2 linked regions of the Rhinolophus ferrumequinum genome follow. The protein of the gene in region 2 interacts with the protein of the main gene of each other region in a biochemical or structural test. Links are inferred from orthologs where the notes say so. Each region holds a gene or a part of one and is shown on either strand. Other genes may lie near its edges.

What was found.
Region 1: the proteins of FLNC (region 2) and XIRP1 form a complex in vitro, tested with the Homo sapiens proteins (2 studies listed by BioGRID and IntAct, with this or other methods). The link is inferred for Rhinolophus ferrumequinum from reciprocal best matches to the Homo sapiens genes FLNC and XIRP1.

The regions. Positions count from the first base shown.
Region 1 is NC_046300.1:13,480,718-13,488,606, reverse strand, and holds the start of XIRP1 (xin actin-binding repeat-containing protein 1), read right to left. Parts: upstream 3,009-7,889; 5' UTR 2,874-3,008; intron 9-2,873; 5' UTR 5-8; coding exon 1-4. UniProt on the Homo sapiens protein: Protects actin filaments from depolymerization. Required for correct cardiac intercalated disk ultrastructure via maintenance of cell-cell adhesion stability, and as a result maintains cardiac organ morphology, conductance and heart beat rhythm.
Region 2 is NC_046309.1:17,312,089-17,319,271, forward strand, and holds the start of FLNC (filamin-C), read right to left. Parts: upstream 3,012-7,183; 5' UTR 2,754-3,011; coding exon 2,399-2,753; intron 1-2,398.

The DNA of each region.
Region 1 (7,889 bases), on a different chromosome or scaffold from region 2:
CCATCCTCCTGAGGAGAAGGGGCAGAGATGAGGGTGGGGCTGGGGGCCTCGGGGCGGGGGGAGGGGCAGTTTTGGGGAGAAAAGGCAGGGAGCAAGGCCCAAGGCCCTGAGGTAACATGCCCTCTCCAGACCTCAGCTGGGTCTCACTCTGCCACCTGTATGCTTGGTGTGTGACAAGTCTTGAACTTAGGGCATATGGAGCCATCCAACAAGGTGGGTCCTGGCTTCCCCAGAATCACCTGGGTTGCTAGGGAGCAAGCAGGGCGCTGCTGGCCATGAAGTTCTGTCCTTCAGCCCCACAAGGGATGCTCAGACCTTCAGTAGACAAACTGGACGTGCCCCATCCTCCCCTTCCTTTACCAAAATCAGTTTTCCCTGGCGGAGTCCCAGGTGAGTGGCCTGGAGGGAGATCGTGATTTATGGGGTCTTAGTCAGGGACCAGTCGGTCCCTAAACTGGTGACTGTTTACCATGGAGAAGAAAATGCCCTTTCATGACACCAGAGGGCGTGCTTGCCACTTTCACTGGGAGTCTTGCCCAATCCCTTTGGGGCTCTCCAACCTGTCCCAGGCCGACCGATGCATAGCTGGGGCCCGCAGCCCATGCTACCGTGGGAGAAGTAGAGGCTCACCAGGTATCTCATGGTTGGGCAGAGCCAGATTCTGATTCCCAGGTAGGGGTTTCTGTGCCATACCCCAAGACTCAGACGTCTGAGCCTGGGGTATCTCAAGGGTCTTCTAGCCCAAACGCTCGTAATTAAGCATGAAGAAACGGAGGCCCAGAAGGGGTCAGAGCTTGGTGAATGAGTAACGGGCAGTGCTGACTTGGGGTTCCTAGACCCTATTTGGGGCCTGGCTCTCAAGAAACAGGAGGGTAAGGAGTGTGAAGCTTTCTTATCGGCTGTGGTGTCCCTCTGTTCCCCAGCAGGCACCCCTAGGAGAGTGTGAGGGTGACAGCGACAGGGAGGGGGGCAATGGGACCATCTGCAAAGACAGTGCTGCCCTGGCTCATGGAGACTCAGTCCCGACGGTGTTGCAACCGGCCTCACGCTGGCTCTGTGCTCCTCTCCTTTCTTCCTCTTCAGGTGAGTCAGCTTTCACCAAGGCACTGCCTCCCCCCAGCTCACCCGGCCCCCCTTCATGGCCTCCCACCCCTCAAGCCCTTCTCTGGTCTCTGGTCTCTGGTCTCTGTCCTCTGTGTCTTATCTGTCTTGTGACAGGTGTACTAACAGTTCCCAGAGGCCAGTAGGGAAAGAATGAGAAGCATGTCCCCTTCCCGCTGCCCCTGACCCACTGCTCTGCTTCATACTCGGTGCTAAATATAGCCAAGGTCCCGGCCTCCGCATGGCCGCCCTGGGCCCCCTCCTGACGGAGGCTCAGGCTCGGCCAGTGGGGCCCTGAGCGCCTTGGCTCACCTTAGCTTTTTCTCCACCCTGGGCTCCCTGGTCCTGCCCCTTCTCACCATAACTCTGGGGGAGTCGCTGTAGTCTCTGAGTTCTAACGAGGACCCCCTGCCAAAGGCAAACTGTGCCTGTCCCCACCTCCTCCCTGTCCTGTCACCACCAGTGTGTCCTGAGCAGATGGCATATGCAGGCCACCAACTCCACCCCTCTGCCAACCCCAGGAATCTCTAGAATCCCTGTTATGGTCCCAAACAGTTAGAAGCATGGAGTCCAGGGATGTCAGACCTAAGGACCCTCAGAGGTCACTGAACCTGACCCCTCATTGTACAGATGGGGAAACTAGGGCCCGAAGAGGGGAGAGGAGCTGTCCCAGGAGGCTCTGCAAAACAGTAGCTAGGCCTGAAGCCGGTTCCCCAACTCCTGGCTTTCCCAGCCTCACCCCTGCCTGGCCTAAGACCCTTAGGCTTAAGTTTCTAGAAGGCAGGGATGGAGGAGGAGGAGGGCAGAATTCAGAACTGGGACCAGACTTAAGGTTAGGGGCCTGAGCCCCAAGAAGTGTTCCAGAACATGGCCTTCTCGGGCTGGCTAGCCCCTCAGGATGACCCCACCTCTGTCCCCAGTCTGCCCTGCCTTGGCATAGCCCCACTATAGGTCTCTGCATCTGGTCTGGCAGACTCAGATCTGGTCTCCCTTGCTTGTCCTCCGTTTCCCCGCCCTCCTCCCCCCCGTCTGCCCACTGGGCAAGATGATGGTCTGGGCATCCCAGCCCAGGTCCTAGGCCATGATATGTGGGGAGCTGGGCTCAGGCCAGCCCTGGGGAGACATTCCTGGGACCAGTTATGCCAAGACTTTCACCCACAACAGCTGGGCATGGGGCCTGGCTCCCAAGAAATAAGAGAGTGTGAAGGTTTCTTATCGGCTGTGGTGCCGCCCTGCTCCCCAGCAGGCACCCCTAGGAGAGTGTGAGGGTGACAGCTACGGGGGGAGACGGGAGGGCAGTGGGACCCTCTGCTGAGACAGCCCTGCCCCTGGCTCATGGAGACTAAGGAGGCAGAGTCGGGCCTGCTTCCCACCTCCACCTGCATTTCCTCCCGCCTCTCCTCTCCTCCTCTTTCCTCCAGACACTGGAGCTGCCTGGGAGGAAGCCTGGAAGCCTTAAGAACTCCATACCTGTATTTTGAAAATCAAAACTCCAGGCTACCTCCTCCTGAAAGCCTTTCTGGATTTTTTTAGACTGGTAAGAACTTGGCCCTTCTGCGGGCGTCAGGCTTGTGGCAACCAGTCCCTTTACGTCCTCAGGGAGTCTTTATACCAGAGACCTCTCCACTCACCTACGTCCAGCTGCACGGCCCCTTAACTTCCTTCTGCCACCCCTAATACACGGTATCCTGAGAACCATCCGGAGGGTGCAGAGTGGACCCCAGCCTGGAGAGCCAGTCCTGCCATGGACAGACAAAAAGCAGGTGACTCACCTGAGGGTCCCACTTGGCTGACGGCGTGCTTGGGGTCTGTGGCGGGGCAGCCTAAGGTTTGTCGTTCCTCTCTAGCTTCTTGCTTGGGGTTGGTCCTGCTCTGCTGGCTCCGTCAGATGCCTTCTCACTGCCCTGGCCCCGGGTCTCTGTCCCCTGCCAGTCCCAGCAGCTGCCTTTATCTTGCTGGCTAAGGGGTGGGCCAGAGTGGGGGCAGGCGGGAGAGGCTAAGTTCAGAATATGAAGTGGTTCAGTTATTTTTAGGGCTTGTGGAAGTCACTCTTCCATCCTGGGGAATCGGTTACATGTCCTTTCTGCCGGGAGGTGCACAGGAGTGAGGGGAGCACTTCATTCATCCAAGTCTGATCGGAGGACTGGGCTCAGTGACTCAGTCAGGTGTCGGGCGCTGGCGTCCCAGACTATTCTGAGGAAATGAATAAGGAGGGACAGCTGACCCCGGGACAGCCCTGCCTAGTCCTGTGAGCCCGCTTCCCTACTCTGGACTGGCCTCTGAGCTTTCCTGACGCGTGTGTGCCCCCTGTGCCCTCCTCCCCTGGTCCCGGCCTGGGTACCTCTGAGAGTAAGTCCCCGCTGTCCTCCCCCACCCCCTCTGCACTAAAGATACCCATTTTTCCTCATGCCCCGCAGGTCAGATCTACACAGCCCTGAGTGCAGCTGGATTTGGGGGAAATCATCTGAATTTCCAGGCCTCAATTCTTCACTAGGTCCCTGGTTTATCAGAGAATTCCACAGAATGGTTCTGTGGTTTTCATAGCAGATTATCTGGGCCCTTGTTGACTTTTGGGCTCTTCCCTCTGACTCAGGGCCCAGACTTTCTGGGAACGGAGTGGCAGGCGGGGAGCTGACTGCGGGGTTATTTCTGACCCTGGAGTCATCAGCTTTCCACAGAAGGAGGTGGTGGTGGTGGGGGGGGGGGTCATGCCTGCCCCTCCTTCGCTGCCCAGAGCCTGAAGGCCTTAGCAGGCTAAAGACATCCTGGCAATTACGGTAGGCTCGGGAAGGGGCCGGTGTGGTAAGGGGCATCGGGGATCGTCCAGAGCACATGCAAAGGTGGCATTTTGCCCAGGCTGCATGTCTAAGGCCGTACAGGTGCATTCTGTCACCTGGCAGAACAGGATCTTCCTTCCGACATCCCGAATGCCCTGTGGTGCCAGGGAGTGATACCAGGCATTACTCAATTTTTCCACTGAGTCAACCTCTATCTCATAGTGTTGGCCTGAGGGTAGGGAGACGGGCATCCAGGAAACCCTCTCCCTGGTCTTCTATCCTCCTGGTGTCCCCTGTCCTTTTCTATCCCTCTGCCTGCTCCCCAGTTCCTGGCTGTTCCCAGGAAGGTCAGGGAGATGTAAAGGCTAGGGGAAGGGGAGTCTTAGGTATCCCCTTAGGGAGCCTTCGGCTTGGGGATGCCCCAAGTGCCTTCCTGCTCGGATGGTTTTGAAAACTGAATGAATTAACATAGGAAAGGGTTTATAAGAGTGCTTAGCACAGAGCACATGCTATAGAAGTGCCTGCTGCTATTACACGTGTAAGAAAAGAGAAGCACCCAGGTGGAACCCACTTTTGTATTCCCCTTACGTGTGATGAGTCATGGTAGAAATTTCTGAGGCCTCAGTGTTAAGAAAGAGGCTTTTCCTGACCACCTGGTTTGTTTTTATCGCATATAACTGTGCTTTCCCATATGGTTGCCACTAGTCACGTGTGACGATTTAAATAGATCCAAATGAAATAAAATTTAAAATCCAGTTCCTCCATCACACTGGGCACATTTTAGGTGCTCCATAGAAACACGTACCCAGTACTTATCATATTGGACAGTGCAAAACGTTTCCATCATTGTGGAAAGTTCTACTGGACAGTACTATAAAGACGCTAAAAATCTCCTAACAGATGGCATTTCTCTCTTTGCCTTGGCTCTTAGGAAGCTCTGACCTAAATTTTCAGTCTTCTAGCAAGTAGATTTTGTGGCCTGCATCCTGTGTAACGAGGGTGACCAACTGTCCCTGTTGCCCGTCTCTGAGGGGTTTCCCAGAACAAGGGACTTTCAGTTTTAGAAGTGGGAAAGTTCTAACAAAACCAGGAAGGGTGGCTCACCCCATGTGTGATGATCTAACACTACCAAGTCTTCCAGGTGTCAGTTGCAAGGCCATTCAGGCAGTAAGCCAGGCATTACTTATGGGAGTATCGTTGGTGGAGATACCGTGCACCTATCCTTTCAAGCTCCCTTCAATTATTTTGGGAATGAGGCTAGGGATAAATAAACACATTGAGGATGAATGGCTGTGCTGATTAGAAGGCAGAGGGGACTTGGGGGCGGAGGTGGAGACTGAAGGGTGTTGTCTTCTGGCAACCACAGTCCTTCCTTCTGGCCGACTGCTTCTCAGTCTTGAGGGCTTCTTCCCCTGCCAGCCCCTCCTTCCAAGTGGGGCTCCACCAAAGTTGGGGATTGTTTGGAAGTTCACGCCTAAGTCTCCTTGGAGAGCTGGCACTTGAAGGCAGAGCTCAGAGTGAGTAGCTGGCAGCAGGCTCACCTCAAGTTTCAGGAGAGGCAGCATCCAGCAATGATTAAGAGCCAGACTACGTGTGAGACGTACTAGCTGTGCAACGTTGGCAAGTTATGTACCCTCTCTGTTTCTCGGTTTCCTCATCTATAAAATGGGGATAACAATTGTACATATCTCAAAGGGTTGCTGTGAGGAATATACATTTCATCACACACCCACAGCATTTCGAATAGTGCCTGGCACACTGTAAACTCCATATATGAATAAGTTCAGTAAGTTCTTCCCCGGATCCTGGCCACCCCCAGCTTCTCCAGGACCCAGATCTGAGTATATCCTCCTGGTCCAAAGACAAGTGCCCTTCAAGGCACTGGCTGGCAGTCCTGGCTTCCCTCACCCAGGAAATAGACCCTGGTGCCAAGGGACAGCTCTGGACAGGCCAGGCTGGGTCTGTTCCAAGCCTGCAGGAGACAAGCCTGCTCAGCCTCTTGATAAAATCACCTGAACCCCGAGAAGGGATTTTCTGCTCTGGGGTCAGCTCAAAGCGTGGGTTGATTTGCAAGGAGTGCTGCACCCTCCTGCCATGGGACTGTTGTGGTTATTGCAGGAGAGGCAGCAGAACATGGTGTTTGAGTGTGGGATCTGATGTCAGACTGCCTGAGATCAAATCGCCAGCCTGTCCCTTCCTATTTATATGACCTCTGAGAGTCCTCCAGCTCTCTGCACCCTAGTATCTTAGTTTGGGATCTTCCAGTGACAGAATTTGAGATGAGTGTTTGGGTGCAAGTGATTTAACTGGAGAGGAGGAATGTAGTTAGAGTCACAAAGTGAGTTGGGGGAGGGAGGAAAGCAGGGGGAAGTACTTCTGTGGGCAACTGGGCTTCGTCCCGCAGGGGACCCTCTGAGAACTGGTGTGGAACATGCCTCAGCTGGGTTTGGGAGGCGGGGGTATGTATCCACTAATCCTCAGCCACGGGTTGAGAGCTCTTCCTGGAAGCACTAACTCCCTGACACTCCCGGCCCACACCTCAGGCAGAGAGATGCAGGAGTTGGAGATGTCCTGAAGCTGTAGTCCTGTACAGGGACAGTCCATTGAAGCAGGTGAGCCCTGGGGCGGGGGAAGGAGTCATGGGGGCTACTGACAGCATCTGCTACATTAGGTTCTCCCATCGGTGAGGTGATACTGAGCTTCTATCATGTGGTTGCTTTGAAGATTTAGACATGTGCTTCCCCGTTGAGCTTAAAATAAGGAAGAGTGTCTGGGTGGGCCTGACCTAATCAGGTGAGCTCTTTAACAGTGGCGTTTCCTCCAACCGCTGGCAGAAGAGGAAGTCAGGGGATCTGAGGCACGAGGGGGATTTGGTGCACTATCACTGACTTGAAGATGGCCATGTGAGTAGGAATGTGGGTTCCTTAAGCAACTGAGAGAGGCCCCTCGCTGAAAGGCAGCAAGAAAACGGGGGCCCCAGTCCTACAACTCAGGGAAGTGAATTCTGTCACCAGCCTGAATGAGTTCGGGACAAGAGTTTTCTTCAGTTTCTAGATGAGGACTCAGCCTTATGATACCATGAGTAGAGAACCCAGCCCTGTCGTGCCGGATTCAGACCTGCAGAACTGTGGGCTAATAAATGGGTGTCATTTAAGCTGCTATGCGTGTGGCATTTTGCTACACAGCAACAGAAAACCAATAGAGAATGGAAACTGCAGCAGCCATGGGGCATGCCTGCCCACTTGTAAGTCACCCAGTCCACCCGGAGCTTGGCCTAAGCATTTTTTCCCAAGTGGCTGGCTAGGGCCTCCTAGGTGGTTATGCTCAGTACCCCCAGGTCACCAGCAGAGGGCCTCAGAGCATCTCAAAAATCAAGAAATAAATACTGGTTAGGGAAAGTCAGAGCAGGAAGAACCCACAGTCTTTTATTCCTCCCATTTTGCACTTGAGGCAAACTGAGGCTTGCAGCAGAGCCCGGATGCTGCAGAGTAGAGAAAGGAGCTGCTTTCAGATGGTCCTCCTTTGGGACCCCAGCTCCATCATTTGCCAGCTCCACAACCTTGGACAAGTTGTGTCAGCTCTCTGAGCTCAGTTTTTCTATCTGTACATCGGGGATGCTTTGGCCGTGAGCAGATGGAGGAAGAGTATTCTGGGCAGAGGGAAGAGAGTGGGCAAAGGCACAGAGGTGTGGATGGTGTGGTGTGTGCAGTGCGATTGGAGTGTAGGGCAGAGGGTGGACAGTGGCCTTGAGTGGCAGGCGGGGGCTGAGTCGTGAGTGTCAGGCAAAGGTTTGGGCCCCTCCTGAAGGGTTTTAATCAGGGGGCAATTTGGGTCACAGGAGGCAGGTGATGAGGGCCTGTCATAGCAGCGCATGCTCTGAATGATGGCAGAGTGGAGGGGGGGAGGGGCTGAGTCGGAGCCATGCCGACAAGGTAGAAGAGACAAAACCTAGAAGAACTACAAGATGTAGCAACTGCAAACCAGGAGAGGAAGCACTCAGGGGGATCGCAG
Region 2 (7,183 bases):
GCCTTCCTCTCTTCTACCCCACGGAGCCACCACTTCTTCGCCTGCCAGGGGGTACCCCCAAAGTGGCGGGAAGAGCCCAACAGCCAGTGCCTGAGGCTGCCCCAGGCCCCAAGTGGAGGGGGTGGAGAGAGGGCTGGGCGAGGGAGGGGCTGGGACAGCTGCTGCCCCCTCCAGCCCCTCCCTTGGCTGTTGGCTCAAGGAGAAGGAATAGCAACTGGGGAACAGCTGCGGGACAGTGCTGCCTCATAGGTCTCTTTGTTTGGAGGGGCTGGGGGGGGCTGGGATGCGGGGAGTGGGGTAAGAAGGGCACACAGCTCCTCCAACCCAGAAAGAGTACCCCCTCCTTCAGGTGGACTTCTCAGCTCCCAGCTGTCACCCCACTCCTAGAGAGGGACGTGGGGAGTCTTTCTGACCCTCCTCCCAGGTGCCCAGACACTCGATTTCAGTCTTGAGACAATGCCTAGAGGAGGCCCCCTGGACGGCCTGTTCCAATCACTTATGGGAAACGAGGGAACTAGAGGAAGGAGGATGCCACCCCTGGTGGGGAACCCCACTACGTCTCCTCAAGCTTGGGAAGCTCCTTCCGCCTGGGCCCCCTCCCCTCCAACCTCAGCCTCAGGCCCAGCAGCAGAATTGCTGACAGCTTATCTCATCACCGGGAGTGAGCCACTTGGCCCAAATGGGGAATGGTTCCCTTCCTCTCGGCGGGAACCGAGGCACTTCCCTCCCCACCCCAAACCAGCTTTTGCTTCTTCCCCCTCTGCTCTGAGCCGGCCCCTCCACAGTTGAGCCAAGGGGCTGGAGCCAGGCACCACCATGGGGGAGGGGAGAGGTGCGCACAGGAAGGATGAGGCCTGGAGAGGGGCTAGCCGCCCCACAACCCAGAGGGGAGGGGAAAGCAGGGAGCAGCTTCCTACAAAGATATGCTGAGGCCCCCGGCTCTCCCCTGGAGACCCCACCTGGGACAGCCAGTCCTGTCCGTCAAATCCCCGGTGCAGGGGGGTGACAGACCAAGGGCAGACTCCCCTCAGACCCCTGCCAACACACACACACTCTCAATAGCCCTCACCCCCACTACACACCCCAGGGCCCCTCCCCCACTCCTGTCCTCAGGCTTGTCCTTCTGGAAAGCTCAGAGACATCTGCTGTGTCACGGAGGTAGGGCTATTTCCAGGCCAGAGCGGGTGGGGTGGGAGGGCAGTATTGGGGCAGGAGGGGGTAAGGCCTAGAGAGGGGACTGGACAAGGCAAAGGGCCCCCGACTGACCTCAGCTGCTAAATCAGGAGGCCTAGAGATGCCCTGAGGGAGAGTTGGGGGTGGACATTCAATTATCCGGAATAGACTCTGGGGCAGTCTGGCAGGAGAGGCATCTGACCCTAAGTTAAACCCCTCTCCTGGGGCCTTGGGGTGCACCCTTCACGGGACACTTTCCTGTAAATCACAGCTGGACTTTTAAGAGCTCACCACAGGGGTACACAGGAGTAGGGGGTCTGGCCCAGGCCACCAGCCTGCAGAGAGGACAGCAGAGCTTTGAGGGGAGGGGCAGCCTTTGGCCACTCAGAGTCCAACCTTGGCCTCTGGTTCCCAAGCCTAGAGTGTCTCCCCACCCCCACCCAGCACAGACACACCTTCCAAATCTGGTTACACTCAATGACTTCCTCCCTTCTACAGGCCTTCCCCTCCCTCCCCTCTGCCCCGAGCGTTAGTTGCAGCCAATCCCAGCTTAGGGGGTGGGCTGGGGCCGGGCCGGGCCTGGACGTGCGGAGACCCCTCCCTGGCACGCTGAGCCCGAGGAGGACTAGCGGGGGTTAAGGCTCCCGCGCTCGCTCAGTGCCTTTTTAGGTTTCTGAGGCTGGGCTCTGCTTGCCCCGGCCCCCGGGCCTGAACCCAGCTGCTTAACACATGCGGGCCACCGGCTCTCCGTCTGCCCCGGAGCCCCGGGATCGGCAGTGGTTGGGACCTGCCTTCAGCCCGCTCCTCCCGGTGGAGCTGCTGCAAGGCTGGGAAGCCTTTGCTTTGTTTGAGGGAAGACGCCCCCAGGAATCAGTAATGGGTACTGGCCCTGTCCTCTCAAGTATGGCTGGGGTTGCCCGATGGCAAGAAGGCGGACGATGAGTAGAGAGGCGGGTCTGTGGGACCGTGTAGGAGAAGGCTGAAGCCGGGGGACTCTGGACCCTCCGGGTATCTCCCCATCCCCCACCGCCCGCCGCTGTGCAGAGAGGGGCGTGAAGGCAGTGCCCGTGTGGCCAGCGTCGGTGGTGGCGGGAGAGCCGGGGTTCCCTCCCCGTGTCAGGGGGCTGCTCTCCTCCCTCTCTCTCAGCTCCCCGCACCCACCGGCACCTGTGTCCCGTCCCCACGGGCCAGCCGGTCCTCGGGGCACTCCCCTGCCCACACTGACCTATGGACACGAGCTTGATGTGCTCGCGCTCGAGGAACTCGAGGGCCACGGACACGTTCTCCAGCTTCATCTGGCGGAAGTTGGGGCGCGGGTGGAACTTGCGGTACATGCGCTTCTGGCTGAGCACCTCGAGCAGAGCGATGAGGCGCAGACCGTCGCTGAGGTCTCGCTGCAGGTCGGTCAGGCGCTTGCCCACGCACTTGAGGTGCTCGTTGCACCAGCGCGTGAATGTATTCTGCTGGATCTTCTTCCACGGAGCGTCCTCCGCCAGGTCCTTCTCCGTGGACGGCATGTCGTCTGCCTCGTCGCCCAGGCCGAGGCCCGCGGGCTCCGAGTAGCCGCTGTTGTTCATCATGCTGGCAGGGGTGGGTCGAGGGTTGTGCTGCCTGCTGGGCACGGGCTGGGCAGGGGCTGGGGGCGCTGTCGGGGCGCTGTCTGGGCGATCGCGGGACTCGCAGCTCTGCGCTGTGCGGCTCTCAACTTCTCTCGCGCCCCTGGCTGGCGGGACTCAGCGGGACTCTTCGCTCCTTGGCCGCTCGCTCTCTCTCTCTCTCTCTCTCTCTCCCTCTCCCTTCGGGGGCGGAGCGGTGCTCGGGAAGTGCCGGCCCGGCCGGGGCGGGGGGTTTAAGAAGCCCCGGGCCGCGCTCCCCCCGCCGCACTCGCAGCCCCCGGGTCCACGTCAGAGCGCCGGCCTCCCAGGAATGCCGCCCGGCCTGCGGGTGGGGGCCGCGCAGAGCCCGACCGCCCCGCCTCTGTCCTCCCCTCCCCCACGCGGCCCGATTGGCCCAAGGGGGGGGCTCCCCCGCCCCCCAGTTAGCTCCCCAGAGGGGCTAGTCCCTGGGGCGCTGCGTTGGAGAGGTGGAGCAGAGCTGGAAGGTGGGGGGTAGGGCACCCAACACCCCAAAACTAAGCATTGCCCGTCAGAGATTAAATATGTCCCCTCCACGTCCCGCAGGACTAAAGAGATCAATAGGGAAACTGAGGTCAGTGGTTAGGGTAAAACACAGTGATCTGGTGTTGACAAAATTTTCTGGATGAATTGGTGACAGGGCCTGGGAGTCCTGGCTCCTAGCCCAGGGTACTGTCCACCTGTGCCAGGGAAGGGAAGTGTGTGCTAGTACAGAGATGGACTGAGAGGAAATAAGGATACCGCCCAGGCCAATTGGGGAGAAGGTGTGATGGTTGTGGTGGGGGGTGGTGCTTCACTTTTACAGGTAGAAAAGCCTAGTTTGAAGGCCAAACCCAGGGTCCCAGGAGAAAGACTGAGGCTGCCCCTGACTCAGTGTCCCCGTCACCAGCCTGTTTGGCCTCATCCCCTCAGAATGAAGCTGAGCTCAGGAAAAGAGTACCCAGTGAGTCACACTGTGCACCCCCCCAAGTCTGACTCAACCAAGGTGATGAGTGGGAAGGGAGAAACTGCCCTGTAGTAGCAGGGAGCCCCCTGGGCAAGGTGCCCATTTGGGCCACAGGGCAGATCCTTCCAGTGAAAGGGCGGGTTCGCCAGACAAAGAGGGAGAGCCCTGCCCAGAGCAGCCAAGGGGAAACGTGACAGGGGCTGGTGGGCAGAGAGAGCCCAAGGGAGCCAGCCAGGAAGCCTAGGCAGGACTGGGCGAGGGAATGGTGACAGCAAGGAAACTTGAGGCAGTCAAATAGGAGCTGGCCTGGGATGACAGAGCTATAGAATATATATACAGAGAATATAAATCCATAATTTTGTAGCATGCATGTGGTCCATATCCCCTGGTATTCCCTTTGCGCTGTATTTCCTCAGCTTTCCCATTCTTCAAGAACAAGTAAGTTTGGGCCAGACATTCCCCGATTCAAGCTGTGTGATAATTGAAGTTTGGGAAGGTTCTGGGACCTTAGAGGTATAACATTCTACCTTATTCCTCTTCTACCCCCAGGGAGAAGGGGGATAGCGGACAGAATGAGGGCAATCTCCATTATGGAGCTCAGAAAGAAGTTCCCGGGTTTTGTGGGCGGGAGTGCTTATGTGAAAGGGGTCCATGAATGATTTCTTTCCCTTCTCATTAGGTAGGGAGGGGGAGGAGTAGAGAAGGGGCCAGAAACAGAAAAGAGAACTGCTGTGTGTAGCTTGTGAGGGGGGAGCTCTGGGGGCCCTAATAGTGACAGGCAAGGTATAAATAGCCTGGGCCCTGCGGCTCATGTTCTGTCGGCTGCCTGTGACGAGGTGCTCAGGAATTCCACTCTCCTACTGGCACCCCCCTTCCCTATCTCCAGAATTCTCATTGCCCCATGCCACCTTTGTCCCACGGCCAAAACCAACCACCAGGCATCAGTGTTGACCGTCTACTTTAGAGGCTGAGCTCTCCTGTGGAGAGATGCCCAGCTCCTGGGGACACATGACACATAGCTGGGTCTCACAAGGGAAGTGTGTGTGTTTGTGAGTGTGTGTGTGTGTGTGTGTGTGTGTGTGTAAAAATGGCAGACTTCTGACACCTAACCTGAGGTGCCAGCTCAGGATTCAGCGATGTCTCTGAAGCCCTGATGAAGAAACTGAGGTACAGATCTGAGAAAGGATAGGTTCCTCTCTCTGAGCTGCTAGGGAGAAGAGAAAGGGGTAAAATGGGTTTCCTTGGAGCCAACAGCCCCTTTACAAATCCTAGTGGCTCATAGTCCTGTTTTGGGGCATTACTTGGTGTGTCCCCCAGTCAGTTAAGGTCCTCCATTGAGGTGGGAGGGTTCAGAGGGAGGCCAGTGAGTGGAGAAAGAAGTCTCCTCTCTCCCCCCTCTCATTCCCTCTCTCCAAGAGAGGTCCGTAAGAGGCCCCTGAGGAGTAAGTGAATGGTCTCAGTAGAGCAGGGTACCCAGTGCCAAGGATGGTTCCCAGCACCCTTCTTACCCCCCTTCCCCAGAAACCTGAGCCTGTTGCTCTCCAGGATAAATCGGGGCCTGACTCAGGCCCCAGCCAGCCAGTCCCAGCAGCCTGACCCAGGCGCAGGCTGGTGACTCAGCTCTCAATATAGCCCATGAGCCCAGGCCTCAGGCCTGGCCATGAGGGCTGGAACAGACCGTGCGCAATGCTGGTCCTACGGCCTGCCAAGTGGGGCCGCCTCCCTGAGGAAGGGCCAAGCCAGGCAGGGGCACATAGAGGGGCTTACAGGGGGTTTCATCAGCTGAGCATTTGGGGTAACGCTGGCTGGGGCCATAGGCTGTTTATAGCCCCCTGACTCACCACCCGCTGACCTGTCTCAGAGGACCAGGTTGCCTTTCACTTGGCCCTACTTCTCCCATCAAGGGGCTCATCAGCCACGGACAGTGGCCATAATTAACTTGGGCTAAACAGAGTCAGAGTGAGCGGGTCCAATGGGCCATGTTTGAGAATCCTGTTTTTCTGGAGCCAGGGACATTTCCACAGTCACCCGTTATGAGAGGAGACTGGCCAGGCTCACAGCAGGTCCTTGGATCAATCGGTGATACTGACTGTGGCCCTGACCTGGGTGCCAGGGACGGTGGGGTCGGATGGAAAGATCCATAGACTTTATAACCTTGGGCAGGTAATGTAACTCCTTTGGGTTTCAGTTTTCTCATCTGTGAAATGGAGTTAATGTTGTCATGGCGATTTTTTATGTATGAAGATGAAAGGAGGGAACATGTAAAATGAGCGTGGTGCCTGGCAGCTAATAGGTGATCAGAAAAAAAGTTCGTCTGCTTTCTCTGCTGGTATCTCGGGGACCATCTGGGGTCTGGTGAGTGAGGCCTTCCTCCCAGCTCTGTTTCTATCCCTTGTAGAATCCACCGCCAGGATCTTCACACTCCTCCAGTCTTCCCTTCCGTGATCCCCGAATCCACCTGCCAGAATCAGAACCAGGGTACCTCTGATCTTTAGAACCACCCACCCTGCTCCTTAATAGCAGTTGGTCCTTGACAGGAGTGGCAGGTGGTGTGCTCTAGCACGTGGCCTGGGAAGAGAAAGCCGAGGGGGGCTGTTGTGCTGGGAGAGAGCAGAAAAGCAGCAGTGACGCAGAGGGCAGTAGAGCGGGAGAGGGAGGCCCCTGAAGCTGTTTTGAGTCCTTGGTTCTATCTGTACTCCAGCCTGGGTGCGTGCCTGCCTGGGGCTTCTAGGAGACACCCCTGTAGACTTAAAACAAGCTCAAGTGACTGTTTCACATTCAACCCGGAGAGACCTCTTTGATCTACTCTGGTAACAGTGTATGAATAAGGCTAGGAGTCAAAGCCTAAAGGGATGAAGAGGAGAGCACTCTAAAATGAGCCAACAGGAGCCAAGTGTCCTAAAGGGAAGAGCTCTGTATGCTAAGCAAAAAGGCTAGGGAAAAACGGGACCATTTTCCTAGCTTTGCCCAGGCTCTAGATTTGGGCCTGGGAAGGATCTGATAAAGTCCCGACTGGGGGCCCACTGCCTACCAGACCGTGACCTCCACCTTGACTTCTCATTCCAAGTTAAATCAGTGATCTTTGATGGTAGGTAATCCTCCACTCTTTTTTTTTTTATTTTATTAAAATTTATTGGGGTGACAATGGTTCAGTCTTTTCCAGCCAACTGGTGGCCGGAGTAAAGGGAATAAAAAGCAGGGTTTCACTACACTCACCAGCGAGGGGCCAGTCGCCCCAGGTGAGTTGTGAAAGAATTTCTTCCGTTAGGTTACGACTGAGAACACACAATCTAATTGAGGGCAGTGCTTCTCAAATGTTATTGTGCCTAATAACTGGGGATCTTGTTAAAAGGCGGACTCTGCGTCAGCAGGTCGGAGGTAGGGGCTGAGCTTCTGCCCTGCCGATGCCGATGCTGCTGGTCTCTGGACC